Linked DNA regions of Saccharomyces cerevisiae S288C. Changing the gene in region 1 together with any one later gene gives a genetic interaction. Each region holds a gene or a part of one and is shown in the gene's direction. Other genes may lie near its edges.

Region 1 (4,203 bases):
TAAAGAACACCTTACCGAAGGTGGTAACATGGCCTTCCACAACCATTTGAATGATTTTGCTCATATTGAAGATCCTCTGGAAAGAAGAAGATTGGCTTTGGAGTCCATCGATGACGAAGGTTTCGGTTGGCAACAAGTTAAGACCATCTCCATTGCTGGTGTTGGTTTCTTGACAGATTCTTATGATATTTTTGCCATTAATTTGGGTATCACTATGATGTCCTACGTTTACTGGCACGGTAGTATGCCAGGTCCAAGTCAAACCTTGTTGAAGGTTTCCACTTCTGTTGGTACTGTTATTGGTCAATTTGGTTTTGGTACTTTAGCTGATATTGTTGGTCGTAAGAGAATTTATGGTATGGAACTTATTATCATGATTGTCTGTACCATTCTGCAAACCACTGTTGCTCATTCTCCTGCTATTAACTTCGTTGCTGTTTTAACATTCTACCGTATTGTCATGGGTATTGGTATCGGTGGTGACTACCCACTATCTTCTATTATTACTTCTGAATTTGCCACTACCAAATGGAGAGGTGCCATCATGGGTGCTGTCTTTGCTAACCAAGCTTGGGGTCAAATCTCCGGTGGTATCATCGCTCTTATCTTGGTTGCTGCTTACAAGGGCGAACTAGAATACGCAAACTCTGGTGCTGAATGTGATGCTAGATGTCAAAAGGCTTGTGACCAAATGTGGAGAATCCTTATTGGGTTGGGTACCGTTCTAGGGTTGGCATGTTTGTATTTCAGATTAACTATTCCAGAATCTCCTAGATATCAATTGGATGTTAACGCTAAGTTGGAACTTGCTGCTGCCGCACAAGAACAAGATGGCGAAAAGAAAATTCACGACACCAGTGATGAAGACATGGCAATTAACGGTTTGGAAAGAGCTTCTACTGCCGTCGAATCTCTTGACAATCATCCTCCAAAGGCTTCGTTCAAAGATTTCTGCAGACATTTTGGTCAATGGAAGTACGGTAAGATTTTGCTAGGTACTGCTGGTTCATGGTTTACCTTAGATGTTGCTTTCTACGGGTTGAGTTTAAACAGTGCTGTTATTCTGCAAACCATCGGTTATGCCGGTTCCAAAAACGTTTACAAGAAACTGTATGATACTGCTGTCGGTAATCTGATTTTGATTTGTGCTGGTTCATTACCTGGTTACTGGGTATCCGTCTTCACTGTCGATATAATCGGTAGAAAACCAATTCAATTAGCCGGTTTCATCATCTTGACCGCTTTGTTCTGTGTCATCGGTTTCGCATACCATAAACTTGGTGACCATGGTCTGTTGGCTCTTTACGTCATTTGTCAATTCTTCCAAAACTTCGGTCCAAACACAACCACCTTTATTGTTCCTGGTGAGTGTTTCCCAACTCGTTACAGATCTACTGCTCATGGTATTTCTGCTGCATCTGGTAAGGTCGGTGCCATTATTGCACAAACCGCTTTGGGTACTCTAATCGACCATAACTGTGCTAGAGACGGTAAGCCAACCAACTGTTGGTTACCTCACGTCATGGAAATTTTCGCCTTATTCATGTTGTTGGGTATCTTCACAACCTTGTTGATCCCAGAAACTAAGAGAAAGACTCTAGAAGAAATTAACGAGCTATACCACGATGAAATCGATCCTGCTACGCTAAACTTCAGAAACAAGAATAATGACATTGAATCTTCCAGCCCATCTCAACTTCAACATGAAGCATAAAAGCCTCAAAGATGCACTAAAACTTGTAAACTAGAACAAATAATACAAAAACATTTTTATAAACTTATTATCAAACCCCTTACATAATCTATAAATACTGTCAGGTTACATATTTATTCGATAATTTCTTTTAATTTCATTATTTCCTCACATCTCTCTGCCATCCTGTTGGCTGGTGCCAGAGCAGAGCATATCGTCCTTTCTTTTTTAGTTCCAGACGTTACCCGACATATCATTTCTCGAGCCTCTGGAAACCACGAAACGTTTTACAAATTGCACATCTAAAAGAAATATAAACACAGATCAGGTATCTCATAAAGTACATTAATCGACTAAGCAAGCGACTTGAGACAATGAGAGAGGTCATTAGTATTAATGGTATGTATGCGTTCCTTTTTTTGTTCAATATTCGCAACCAATGGCACCTGTGGGACAGGGAAAGAAGTTTGATCTGATCTGGTTTGATTCATTCCCAATTGGTCACCATCTGGTTGATTTACGGCAAATAATTTGACTTGTACCAGCACAGTTTACTAACAGTTTCTTTTTCTCCATTTTTTCTGGGCATACTCGGACGAAAAAGCTCATAATTGACCTCATTACATGGGGAGTGATTTTTGTGTCTTCTTCTTCGGAGGATTGCTGGAACTTTTGTTATTTTTCTTTTTTACAACAGTTGGTCAAGCAGGTTGTCAAATAGGTAATGCATGCTGGGAATTGTACTCCCTAGAGCATGGCATCAAGGAAGACGGCCATTTGGAGGATGGCTTGTCAAAACCTAAGGGAGGTGAAGAAGGATTTTCTACATTCTTCCATGAAACGGGGTACGGAAAATTCGTCCCAAGAGCAATCTACGTGGATTTAGAGCCCAATGTTATCGATGAAGTACGTACAGGACGTTTCAAGGAGCTTTTCCATCCAGAACAATTGATTAACGGTAAGGAAGATGCCGCCAATAACTACGCAAGAGGCCATTATACAGTGGGTAGAGAAATAGTGGATGAAGTTGAAGAAAGAATTAGAAAGATGGCCGACCAATGTGACGGTTTACAAGGGTTCTTGTTCACCCACTCCCTCGGTGGTGGAACTGGTTCCGGTTTAGGTTCCCTGTTATTAGAAAACTTATCGTATGAATACGGGAAGAAATCCAAATTGGAATTCGCCGTTTATCCTGCGCCTCAATTGTCTACTTCCGTCGTGGAACCTTACAACACGGTTTTAACCACGCATACCACCCTGGAACACGCAGACTGTACGTTTATGGTCGATAACGAAGCCATTTACGATATATGCAAGAGGAACTTGGGAATTTCTAGACCAAGCTTCAGCAACTTGAACGGGTTGATTGCCCAAGTGATATCATCTGTTACAGCCTCTTTGAGGTTCGATGGTTCATTAAACGTGGATTTGAACGAATTTCAGACCAACTTGGTACCATATCCAAGAATTCATTTCCCTTTGGTTTCCTACGCACCCATCTTGTCCAAGAAGAGGGCCACCCATGAATCCAACTCCGTGTCAGAAATCACAAACGCTTGTTTCGAACCGGGCAATCAAATGGTTAAGTGTGACCCAACAAAGGGGAAGTACATGGCTAACTGTTTGTTATACAGAGGTGACGTGGTGACCAGAGATGTCCAAAGAGCCGTCGAACAGGTGAAGAATAAAAAAACAGTACAAATGGTGGATTGGTGTCCAACAGGATTTAAGATTGGTATTTGTTATGAGCCACCAAGTGTGATACCAAGTTCCGAATTAGCCAATGTGGATAGAGCTGTCTGCATGCTATCCAACACCACTGCCATCGCGGACGCTTGGAAGAGAATCGATCAGAAATTCGACCTGATGTATGCCAAACGTGCTTTCGTCCATTGGTATGTCGGTGAAGGTATGGAAGAAGGTGAGTTCACCGAAGCTAGAGAAGATTTAGCTGCCTTAGAAAGAGATTATATTGAAGTGGGTGCCGATTCTTACGCTGAGGAGTTCTAAGAAAGTGGCTCTGATCCCGATACCCACTTATAGATTTATATTTACTTAATGTCCATATGTATATACATATATATATATATATATATATACGCTTATATATATATATGCATATTCTATCCAAATAAAGATACCTCTAATTATCGAATTATTTTTCACTTACCTTTAGGTGTACAGTTAGAACAATAGCTTATTAAATTTATTTTTTTCCCTATGTTCCGCGGAATATTGAAAAATTTGAAAATATTCTAAGACAAAAATACCCATAAAAAACAAAGAGTTTTGAGCTCATCTCGTTGCCACCCAAACTTATCACAAAAAAGGAAGCACTCCAAGAACCGCGTGAAGAAAATGTCAAAAGAAGACATAGAAGGAACTAACATTCTAGACGAACCTGTCCACGGGATCTATATTCCTGCCGCGCTATTCGTTGTTGGTGTTGCAATCACCACGTATATGTCTGGTGAATTGAAAATCCTGTGGAGTTTACCCATTCTCTTCAT
Region 2 (5,361 bases), on another chromosome or scaffold:
TTGACCGCGGAAAAGTTTAGTATAACAACCACGCATAGAAAGATCGTGATCCAAACGCCCTTGGGAACCGCGGTGGTCCAGTATTCGACCACACCGGATGCCGCCGTACACTCGGCGGCCACTAAAATGACGTAGCAGTAGAAGTAATTCCACCCAGTGGCGAAGCCCAACGAAGGGTCAACGTACCTAGTGACCAGATTGGCCGTCGACCCGGCACTGTCAGAACCATCACCGGGCAAAAAGCACACCATTTCGCCCAGCGCGCACATGATCGGGTAGATCACCGCGGAAATAATAATGTACGATATGAACAGCCCCGCGGGACCGCACGTATGAAGCGTGGATGAAGTCCCCACCAGCAAACCGGTACCGATGGCGCCGCCCAGCGCGATCAGTTGCACATGGCGCGACTGCAAACCTTGTTTTAGTTTGTGCGGCTCGCTATCGCCATCGACGGAGGGCGATTTCTCCAAGTCCACGTCCATAATCAAATCCTCGCGGATGGTGCCGTTGGACGACGCGGACTGGTTCTTAGATATTTTCTCCATACGGATGGCGTCATCTTTTTCATTGTCGCTGCGATGATTATTGCGCGACCCGGACGATGGTGATTCCGTTACCTGGACAACATCCTCCTCCTTCTTGGTGTCGCCGCCGCTACCGTCGCCGCTAACATCGTCCGCGCAGGTGACGACTCCCGCGCTGTGTCTATTGTTCTTGTGGAAGGGCAGTATATTTACCATGATTTATTCATTGATGGTGTGATTCTTCGAAACAGCAAAGAATAAAAGAAACTGGAAGGGAAGAGAGAAAAAAAAAGGAAAGGAAGAGGAACACAAACCCCCTATATATATATAGAAGTACATCAGTCTACAAATATTCGAGTGTATAAGTATGTATATACATATATGTTTATGCGTCTGTATCAGTACATGGATGGAGATATGCTGTGCCTACATTCATGGAATATTCAGATTGGGGCATGTACATAAACAGACATAATTAGTATTTTGGCCGTAGGTCCTGCCCTACCCTGCAAGGTTCTTCTTGTTATCAGCACTGGATGGAGGGGTGAAGCAGATAAAACCCCGGTGTAGTTGGCGATAGGCAGAGTGCAGGCACGATGATAGCGAGGGGTTGAAAACGTCCCATTTTCCTTTGATAGGAAATATCGGGCAGAAGTTGAAAAGCGACAAAAGCGACAGGCACACGCGAACCGGCTAGGCCACCCAAACGTCATAGCTAGCGCAATGAAAAAAACTAACGTCGCTTCCCTTTTGGTTTGATGATGTTTCAACTCGCAGCGCGGGTACCCGGGCTGCCGGAACAAAGCCGTGCAAGTAGCGGCTGTCGTCACGCACCATGGGTACCATCTTGTGCCGTGCCGTGCTACCTCAGATTTAGGACCCTGGAGATTTGGCAGACATGACAAGCAATTTTGACAAACTTGTGACAAGATTTGAACCGCGCGGGAATTCACATTGCAGTATGGACGGACATCCGGCCATCGCGCGCGGGCCCGGTATTTGATCTCCGTTTTAGAAGCACAGAAAAAAATAATATGATGTTATGATGTTTAATAGATGGATTCATATCGTCCGGGTAAAAACGCTTTTGGAGAAATCAAGGAAAATCGCCGAGATCACTAGGAAATACTATTACTATTGAAAAAAAAAAAAAGAAAAAAAAAGGAAAGACGATAATATTTTTGGAAAGAACGCCACCACACGCACTTTACACCCTTCAATCATGAACAATATTCGGGCCTTGCTGGACTCGATACAATCTGGAGTTCAGACCGTTTCTCCAGAAAAGCACCAACAGACGATTGCCGCGATCAACAAATTTCAAGATGATCCTGCACTTCTAGACACCATACTACCGAGATGCGTGCCTCTTTTGACCAAGTCGTTCTTTTGTATGTCACAGCGTGATCAGAAACTTGTTGCGGAGCTTTTCTACAATCTTGACAAGATCTCCCACTCAAAAGTCCTTAAATCATTAGATACAAGTATTTTTAGATTAAACGAAATTTTAAACTATTTACAAGATCGAGCCTCGCCCTCTTCTTTCAGCGATGTCTTGTGCGTCTATCTAAACCTTTCTTGGCTAAGCGTCATTCTGCTTTCACCTTACGCATTCAAAGATAAATTCAACAAAACGCTTCAAGTATCTTCCAGGTTCGAGAACTACCCCATTTGCATACCTCCAATTAACAAGATCAAAGCCGTTTTATATTTCAAAAACTTCACAGATGCCTTTGACCAGCTACCGGAACGGGAACAGGCAAATGTGCCGTTTCTCAACCAATTTTTAAAGCTGTTTATTCAGTCTTCGGAAAAGGCAAACTACTACTTCTCCAATGAAAATCTAAGACACTTACAACAAGTTGCACTGTCCAATGACGGAATAAAGCTGCTGCCAAAATTATTCCAGATTTCGTTCAATCATGGCTCTCATGATATCCTAGATGCTATAGTAGAATTCTTCCATGACCATTTAAGTTCGAATTCCACAGACACAAGATTCCAATTGGCACACTCCTTCGCTAAAATTGCCAAGTTCCTGCACCAGGCAGATCCAGCATCTTTTATCGAGCTCATTGATTATACCATCGAAAATACGGTTTCCCTATTACAGGCTCCTTGCGATTCTATCGATAGCAATGAGCTGCACACTTCCCTTCTGATCATCGCCGAGGTGGCTCTGGCCAAAATTCTGCCTATAGATCTAGTCGACCGCGTATTGACTCTGATCATCCCTAAAACATGTCATTTTCAGAAATCTCACTTTCAAATCATCAAGGGCCACCATATCAGGGACTCGACAAACTTCATTATCTGGTCAGTAATAAGGTCAAACCGTAGCAATAGTTTATCGCCGCAGGTTCTACAATCACTACTTTCTCATCTGTTAATAAACGCCTTTTTTGACCCCGAATTAATAATCAGATACTCGAGTTTTGCCGCGCTCCAAGAATTATTGGGCAGGTCCAACAAATCTCTTGCGCTAAATCAAAATGACATTGCTTTGATATTGCAAGCAAATTGGAAGGATCTACCGAGGTCTTTCGAGGAGAACTCTGGTCTAATTCGTAGGCTGTTCAACCCCGAAAACACCTCCAAAAGTGCTGTTTGCGTATGGAAGGTATTCCGCGATTGGTCCTTCAATTGGAATTTACTAGAGAATTTACATTTGACCACAATGAAACTCAACATAGATTATAACCTAGTTCCATTAATCAAGTCGAAATTATCTTCACCCGCTTTATTGCAAGAGGTATTAAACAAGGCTGGCAGCTCAGTTACACAAAATTGTCAAATTTTGTACTTGTACTTGAAACTATTCGAAAATGACGTAAATTGCCCGAAAATAAGCGAGATTTGTATCGACATTTACCAGAAAAAGATAAAATTCCAATTAACTACTCAAGCGAAAAGACAATTTAACGATAATTCGCCCGAACTGTTTCAAATTTTTGTCATTTTGAAATACTGGCAATTAACAGGACAAAATGATTTCAATCAGGAATTGTTTTGGAAATTTGTAGACATAGTATCCCCACAAAAGAAGTTAAATCTGTACAACGAATTCATCCCTATAATACAGCAAATAATATCTCAATGCGTTAGCCTAAACTACACAAGGATTGTTCAATTAATTAAATCAGATAACGAACTGACTTGCCGATCAATATGTCATATGCCCGATCAAGAAAAGATGTGTTCCCTTTTCTTCTCCCAGTTCCCCCTATTGTCACCTCAATCCAGATCGCTTTTGATAGGCGAACTTGATCATCATTGGGATGTTAGAATAAGCTTACTCCCGTCGAATTCGTATCGAAAATTTCGCAACATCATTATCAACTGTCTCGATGATTATACAATAACTCAACAGGGTGATGTAGGACGTCTGGTAAGAATACAGGCTTTAAAACTTATGCAATCCCATCCCGATTTCTTATCTGGTGATTGCGACTCCATCAATCCAAAATTAACGAGATTGCTGGCGGAACCTGTACCAGAGATCAGAAAACTAAGTTATCAATTACTTGCTTCGGCCACATCACAAATCACTGTGTTATCTGACTCTTCGATACTCAATTTCCGTCACAAGCAAGGTTTAAGTGAAGAATTCTGGAAAGGATATGCAGTGAGCGCTGGAGCAATACATTTTACAGATTCTCAGCTTACTTCATCAATAGATTCATTTATCGTATACTACAGATCTTTGTCTCCTTCACAACAGCTGGAATTATGCCACGATTTAATCAGAATAATTCCAAGCGCTAAACAAATCGCTGAATCAAGAATACGCGATCGTAACAAGGATCCATTAACAGGAGGTATGAGATTTGACACCATCAAATTCACCATTCATTGTGTAAAATTTTGGACTAGAATCATGGAATCTGGGTTGGTTGTTCTACATCCAAATTTTAATTTTCAGGGTGTTTTCGCCAAGTTCTATAACCTACATTTATTAGATTGTACGACATTGAGAGTAAGCGTGATCAAATTCTTCCCGTTCTTGGCAATATCTTGTTACCACACAATGAGAGAAAATGCTGACCAGAAGAATCTATCCAACATAATACTGAAAAGGTTGTTGGTTCTTGTGAAACGTGAATACGCCGCAACAAAATCAAAATTTATGACTGATCAAAATGTCGCTTTACAAGGTATGTTCCAGATATTTTTGGAATTAGGTGTCACCAGGCAACTCCAAGCTCTACAAGTGGCCTGCCAGAAACATGAATTGGCGAATATATTAGAGTCTGATATCACTTTATAGAATGTAAACGGCAAATTTTACATATAATCATTATTTTTGTTGCATTTGCTTAGATCTTATGTAAGAAAATAGATTTTCTACTCTCTTTGCATAGGATACATCCGCAGCAAAATTATATTCCGCATCATTTGCGGTAAATAAAGCTTCATTCCGCATTTCTTTATCTCTTTTTGCTTTAGATTTTTGGAAAATTTCTGAATCCATATGAAATAGAGTTTTTCGCTCCCCAAAAATTTTGCGCAATTCCATTATGTTTATTGGTTGAATGGTCCCTTTTTCTGACTTAAATGGTTTATTCTCAACATACCATTCGCCGACGTCATCTGTTATCTGCAAAACTCTATCGGTGTTTTCTTGTATATCAATTTCTAAGCTGGATAGCCATTCAGAAATTGCATCTCCGATTTGTATTGGCAACCTCCACGAAAACTTATCACTAAACTTATCGAAAAGAAAAAATTTGTGACTTTGTGTAACCAACAAATTATAGAAAGCAAAATAGAAAAAATCAGAATCAGAGTAGTTTTTGCAGACTTTCAACATCGAGAGAAAATCGTGGGAGGTAAA
Region 3 (2,950 bases), on another chromosome or scaffold:
CAATATTGATAAGCAGGTGGCTAAAGAAAAAAAACAAGAGAAGAAGAGAAAAAGACTAGAAGCCATGAGAAGGGAAATGGAGGCTGCTATGGAAGAAGAAATTTCTGGAGATGAAGAAGAAGGGAAGACAGTAGCATATTTAGGAACAGGAAACTTGAGCGATGATATGAGCGACGGTGATATGCCTGACTCGGAAGGCCACTTGAAAAAGAAAGCTAGAACTGTTGACTATTCCCACGGCCACAATCCATCCAATTCAGTTGATGATGACATTATTGAAGTGGAAGAACCACAAACTTTGGAGGATTTGGAATCTTTGACAGCTAAATTAATCCAGGGTTAAACCCTCCTGCATAGTCTAACCTATAGTATTTAGAACTTGTATACATCTATTCTCTACACTAATATACTTATTTCTTTGTTCAAATCATCGGTAATATTACAATAAAAGAAAAATATGCATATACTTTCGTGCATTGAAGGTGTCAAATGAAATCCCGCTTATAGTGAACAGGCTTCCATCATATATACATATATATATATGTTTATATATGTATATCATCACTTATGCTGCTCCAGGAGATGTAGGTATCTATTCTTTCTTAACGGATCCGCATCTATTAATTGGACCAAATATTGTTCCGAGCTTCTTTCCGTTAGAGCTTCCTTTTCTTCCAGAATATCTTCGAGAACTAATAAAATTTTCAAGCACCAAATATTTTGCTTCCCGGAAAATTCAATTTCGTCATTATTTATTAACAGAATGTTTTCTCTCAAGTCTTTCAACATTTTAAGGTACTCTTGTTCGTCCAGAGTTTTACAAACAATGTCGTTTTTAATGAACCACTTGATATAAAACCATACGGATTGGTCTTCGGCGTCGGTAAACATAGCGTTGATGATATAAGATATTTCAGTCCGAATATACTCCTTTTGATTCCCAACCTCTCCTTTCTGAAACATTCTGCTTATGATCTGTACTCTTTGGTGCCATGCAGAATAATTTGAAATGTTATTGTTAATCTTTATTGTTGTGTATTCAAACTCCTCCTTGTCAAGACTTTTATTAGTGATACTCTCTATGTTACCAACAACTATTCTGCGGTAATGCCATCCGTGGTAATTTCTTGCATCTTGTTCCAATAACTTATTCACGACAGCAAGTTCAGTTTGCCACACTTTAGGGGAACTCGTAGGATAATGTTTCAAGACCCAAAGTCTGTGATTCCATATCCAATAGACTTTGGGGTAATCCTTCAATAGCATCATTACAAAAACTAACTCTTTATCCCAGAAAGGTATTTCCAACTCAGAAGCCAAACTCGCTATAATATCCCTTCTGTAATTCCAAATAGCATTAAATTCCGGATTTTTCTCAAGAAGTTCTGATGTTTTCTTCAGAGCTTCAATTGAGTAAATTTTTTCATCTCTCATATTCAAAACATTTTCAGTCAAGCTTCTATAATCATATATTTTCTTTTCGTCTTGAACTCTCTTTTGTCTCAGTAATTCCTTGGTCCACTGTTTCCTTTTAATGCCATGCTGTTTAATGTGGCAAATATAAAAAATTGCTTGGTAGTCAGTAAAAAAAAGAATTCATAATGTAACGAACATTTGAAGTGCACATACCATTGCTGACCTACTGCTTTATAGTATAAATTCAGTATACTAGGTATATGTGGCTCAAAAATGTGGTTTTTTTCTTTTTTGCCTTTAATTTTTTTCAAATGTTTACGTATGGTTTATGATTTAACATTTCAAGAATAGAAATCGCCCCGAAGAATGATTGATGTTAAATACTCGTACAAGAGTATTGAAAACCACTTCAAAGGGGCCCAATAGCACATTTAATGTCACAATCAATATCACTAAAGGGTTCAACAAGGACAGTTACAGAATTTTTCGAGTACAGCATTAATTCCATTTTGTACCAAAGAGGCGTATACCCAGCAGAAGATTTCGTAACGGTGAAAAAGTACGATCTTACGTTACTAAAGACACATGATGATGAACTGAAAGATTACATTCGGAAAATTCTTCTACAAGTTCACAGGTGGCTTCTTGGTGGAAAATGCAATCAATTAGTATTATGTATTGTAGACAAGGATGAGGGAGAGGTGGTGGAAAGATGGTCCTTCAATGTGCAACACATTTCTGGCAATAGCAACGGGCAGGATGATGTTGTAGATTTAAATACAACACAATCACAAATCAGAGCTTTAATCAGGCAAATCACCTCAAGCGTTACCTTTCTGCCCGAACTAACAAAAGAAGGTGGGTACACATTCACAGTACTTGCATATACAGACGCGGATGCTAAAGTTCCGTTAGAATGGGCCGACTCCAATAGTAAAGAGATACCTGATGGTGAAGTAGTTCAATTCAAAACATTCTCTACCAACGATCATAAAGTTGGTGCGCAGGTCAGCTATAAATATTAATAGAATTCAAGTCAAAAAAAAAAAAAAAGACGGAAGTCCAAAAAAATCTCGTTTTCGATGTTTAGAAAGAATATAGATTTATGAACTATATTATACTATACTACGTACTTCCTCTGTAAACCACTTCATGCGTTTTTTCAAGTGCCTCTGTTAAAGAACCTTGAGTGAGAAACGAAGTCTTTGACACTCAAACTTTGCTTTTTTTGTTCTTCTTTTTGTTGTTGTATTTGAGGGGTGGATACTATCCTCTTCATAACAGGTGGTGATATTTTCAGATCTTGCCTCACAAATTTTGACCAATTCGGATCTTGCATCCTTGCCAAGTTGTTTTCAAATTGACCCAAAAGTACCTTGTCCCACTTGAATATGAAAAGATCGCGATTACTGTCTGGCCTGCTGCCCTCGTCAGTGTCGTCTGTTTCTAAGTTGTAGGCACTCCATAGCTTTTTCCATAATGCCAGGTCCCATGGAATGCCCTTTAAAGCGAGGACAAAAGACCATACCGCTGA
Region 4 (3,400 bases), on another chromosome or scaffold:
ACTGACAACAAAATTGTCTTGCAGCCCAATTAATAAAAAAAAATAAAGTTATATATATAAACAAATACGTAAACAAAGGATAGAAGGCGAACTGAATCATCGTTCAGTAGCGGTTCTGGTTGCCGTTATTGTTCTGTTGAGAAAAGTTGCCAGAAAAATTGAAGGATTCGTGCTGTCCATTGGAGTTCTGGTTTCCGCCGTATTGCGGTCTTCCGTACTCATTGGATTGCTGTTGACCATTCTGTTGCGGTCTACCATACTCATTAGCCTGTTGCTGGCCCCCATAACTCGAATTTGAATTGGAGTTATTGCCCAGGTAGGAACTTGCCATGGAAGCCAAAGCTGAGAATGAACTGGAGTGGCCTTGTTGCTGCTGCTGACCCTGTTGTTGATGCTGATAGTTTTGGCCTTGTTGCTGGTATTGCTGCTGGTTGTTTTGGCCTTGTTGATTGTATTGCTGTTGGTTGGATTGAGTTTGTCCACCACCTAAGTAAGATTGAGCCATGGAGGCCAATGAGGAAAAAGCACCACCAGATTGTCCCTGTTGTTGTTGGTAACCACCGTTGCCACCTTGGTACTGTTGATTATTGTAACCTTGACTATTTTGGTTACCGTTTTGATAGGATTGGTTATAGCCCTGTTGACTATTGTTGGAGTTCTGATTATTATTGGAATGCATAAAAGAGCTTGCCATAGAAGCCAGTGCTCCAAAGGAGGAACCACCGGAGCTTTGATTTTGACCTTGCTGATTATTGTTGTTGGAATTCATGAAAGATGAAGCCAAAGACGCCAAAGCAGTAAAAGAACCTTGACCTTGACCTTGTCCTTGACCTTGACCTTGACCTTGACCTTGTCCCTGACCTTGGGAATTGTTACCTGACTTAAAGAATTGAGAAGCCAAGGCAGCCAGGCCGGAAGCACCCATACTTTGGCTCCCGCCGCCAGAACCACTTAGCATTGACATGACAGTCCCTACGTCAAACCCTCTGTTAGAAGAACCTTTATTTGATGAGTGTGTCATCACTGTGGCTAACAAAGCTAGTTTTCCTAGTTGCGTTTGGGAAGAACCCTTAGAGTCTGCCATTAAAGTGTTCATAAAAGATGAACCACCACCAGCAGCACGATCTTGCGAGGCGTCACTACCACCACTACGGTTGTCCATGACGTATCCTGCGATTTTTTGAATTAATGATTCAATAGTTGACATTTGCTCGTCATTGGGGTTCGACTGAGCTGCGGATGTCAACTTCGCAACAGCTTCTGCATGGTTTCCTTGAGAAAAATGAGACTCAGCCTCTGAGATTAACTTATCCGTATCCATTTCAGATCTTTGCTATACGTTTGTATCGCTATATGTACGTTCTTTTAATGAACTTTCTCCTTTCTTTATCGTGTAGCTTGCTTGGGTATCTTTTAATGAGTTGCGGACAGTGAGATTTTTCAGAAGGGCAATTGGCCAAGACACCAAAAACGTTTGGACGAGACAGGCATCAAAGGACAAGGTAAAAGGCGTTGAGCTGTGGCTGGCTGTGTATGCGTTTGAAATACCATGGATAGATATCAAAGAAAGATAGGATGTTTCATACAAATCCCAAATTTGGGGCGCGGACAACTGAAATACGTGGGTCCAGTGGACACGAAAGCTGGAATGTTTGCTGGTGTAGACTTACTTGCCAACATTGGTAAGAACGATGGATCATTCATGGGGAAGAAGTATTTTCAAACGGAGTATCCTCAAAGTGGACTATTTATTCAGTTGCAAAAAGTCGCATCATTGATCGAGAAGGCATCGATATCGCAAACCTCGAGAAGAACGACAATGGAACCGCTATCAATACCCAAAAACAGATCTATTGTGAGGCTCACTAACCAGTTCTCTCCCATGGATGATCCTAAATCCCCCACACCCATGAGAAGTTTCCGGATCACCAGTCGGCACAGCGGTAATCAACAGTCGATGGACCAGGAGGCATCGGATCACCATCAACAGCAAGAATTTGGTTACGATAACAGAGAAGACAGAATGGAGGTCGACTCTATCCTGTCATCAGACAGAAAGGCTAATCACAACACCACCAGCGATTGGAAACCGGACAATGGCCACATGAATGACCTCAATAGCAGCGAAGTTACAATTGAATTACGAGAAGCCCAATTGACCATCGAAAAGCTACAAAGGAAACAACTACACTACAAAAGGCTACTCGATGACCAAAGAATGGTCCTCGAAGAAGTGCAACCGACTTTTGATAGGTATGAAGCCACAATACAAGAAAGAGAGAAAGAGATAGACCATCTCAAGCAACAATTGGAGCTCGAACGCAGACAGCAAGCCAAACAAAAGCAGTTTTTTGACGCTGAGAATGAACAGCTACTTGCTGTCGTAAGCCAACTACACGAAGAGATCAAAGAAAACGAAGAGAGAAATCTTTCTCATAATCAACCCACTGGTGCCAACGAAGATGTCGAACTCCTGAAAAAACAGCTGGAACAATTACGCAACATAGAAGACCAATTTGAGTTACACAAGACAAAGTGGGCTAAAGAACGCGAACAATTGAAAATGCATAACGATTCGCTCAGTAAAGAATACCAAAATTTGAGCAAGGAACTATTTTTGACAAAACCACAAGATTCCTCATCGGAAGAGGTGGCATCCTTAACGAAAAAACTTGAAGAGGCTAATGAAAAAATCAAACAGTTGGAACAGGCTCAAGCACAAACAGCCGTGGAATCGTTGCCAATTTTCGACCCCCCTGCACCAGTCGATACCACGGCAGGAAGACAACAGTGGTGTGAGCATTGCGATACGATGGGTCATAATACAGCAGAATGCCCCCATCACAATCCTGACAACCAGCAGTTCTTCTAGGCAGTCGAACTGACTCTAATAGTGACTCCGGTAAATTAGTTAATTAATTGCTAAACCCATGCACAGTGACTCACGTTTTTTTATCAGTCATTCGATATAGAAGGTAAGAAAAGGATATGACTATGAACAGTAGTATACTGTGTATATAATAGATATGGAACGTTATATTCACCTCCGATGTGTGTTGTACATACATAAAAATATCATAGCACAACTGCGCTGTGTAATAGTAATACAATAGTTTACAAAATTTTTTTTCTGAATAATGGTTTTGCCGATTCTACCGTTAATTGATGATCTGGCCTCATGGAATAGTAAGAAGGAATACGTTTCACTTGTTGGTCAGGTACTTTTGGATGGCTCGAGCCTGAGTAATGAAGAGATTCTCCAGTTCTCCAAAGAGGAAGAAGTTCCATTGGTGGCTTTGTCCTTGCCAAGTGGTAAATTCAGCGATGATGAAATCATTGCCTTCTTGAACAACGGAGTTTCTTCTCTGTTCATTGCTAGCCAAGATGCTAAAACAGCCGA

The links.
Region 2: mutations in TUB3 (region 1) and CIN1 together harm fitness more than expected from each alone (negative genetic interaction), as found in Saccharomyces cerevisiae (6 studies listed by BioGRID, with this or other methods).
Region 3: mutations in TUB3 (region 1) and MAD2 together harm fitness more than expected from each alone (negative genetic interaction), as found in Saccharomyces cerevisiae (5 studies listed by BioGRID, with this or other methods).
Region 4: mutations in TUB3 (region 1) and BIK1 together harm fitness more than expected from each alone (negative genetic interaction), as found in Saccharomyces cerevisiae (4 studies listed by BioGRID, with this or other methods).

What each region holds. Positions count from the first base shown.
Region 1 is NC_001145.3:21,548-25,750, reverse strand, and holds TUB3 (alpha-tubulin TUB3), read left to right. Parts: upstream 1-2,067; coding exon 2,068-2,092; exon of another isoform or gene 2,093-2,187; intron 2,188-2,390; coding exon 2,391-3,703; downstream 3,704-4,203. Other genes in the region: phosphate transporter PHO84, read left to right, coding at 1-1,714; PGA3 (cytochrome-b5 reductase), read left to right, coding at 4,052-4,203. UniProt on the Saccharomyces cerevisiae protein: Tubulin is the major constituent of microtubules, a cylinder consisting of laterally associated linear protofilaments composed of alpha- and beta-tubulin heterodimers.
Region 2 is NC_001147.6:988,040-993,400, forward strand, and holds CIN1 (Cin1p), read left to right. Parts: upstream 1-1,749; coding exon 1,750-4,794; downstream 4,795-5,361. Other genes in the region: proline permease PUT4, read right to left, coding at 1-743; MNE1 (Mne1p), read right to left, coding at 4,825-5,361.
Region 3 is NC_001142.9:385,807-388,756, forward strand, and holds MAD2 (spindle checkpoint protein MAD2), read left to right. Parts: upstream 1-1,850; coding exon 1,851-2,441; downstream 2,442-2,950. Other genes in the region: RNA-dependent ATPase HCA4, read left to right, coding at 1-343; Rab geranylgeranyltransferase BET4, read right to left, coding at 562-1,542, 1,630-1,632; VPS53 (Vps53p), read right to left, coding at 2,579-2,950. UniProt on the Saccharomyces cerevisiae protein: Central component of the spindle assembly checkpoint which is a feedback control that prevents cells with incompletely assembled spindles from leaving mitosis. Thought to be recruited to unattached kinetochores by MAD1.
Region 4 is NC_001135.5:68,071-71,470, reverse strand, and holds BIK1 (Bik1p), read left to right. Parts: upstream 1-1,549; coding exon 1,550-2,872; downstream 2,873-3,400. Other genes in the region: prion domain-containing protein RNQ1, read right to left, coding at 104-1,321; HIS4 (trifunctional histidinol dehydrogenase/phosphoribosyl-AMP cyclohydrolase/phosphoribosyl-ATP diphosphatase), read left to right, coding at 3,138-3,400. UniProt on the Saccharomyces cerevisiae protein: Required for nuclear fusion, chromosome disjunction, and nuclear segregation during mitosis. Probably required for the formation or stabilization of microtubules during mitosis and for spindle pole body fusion during conjugation.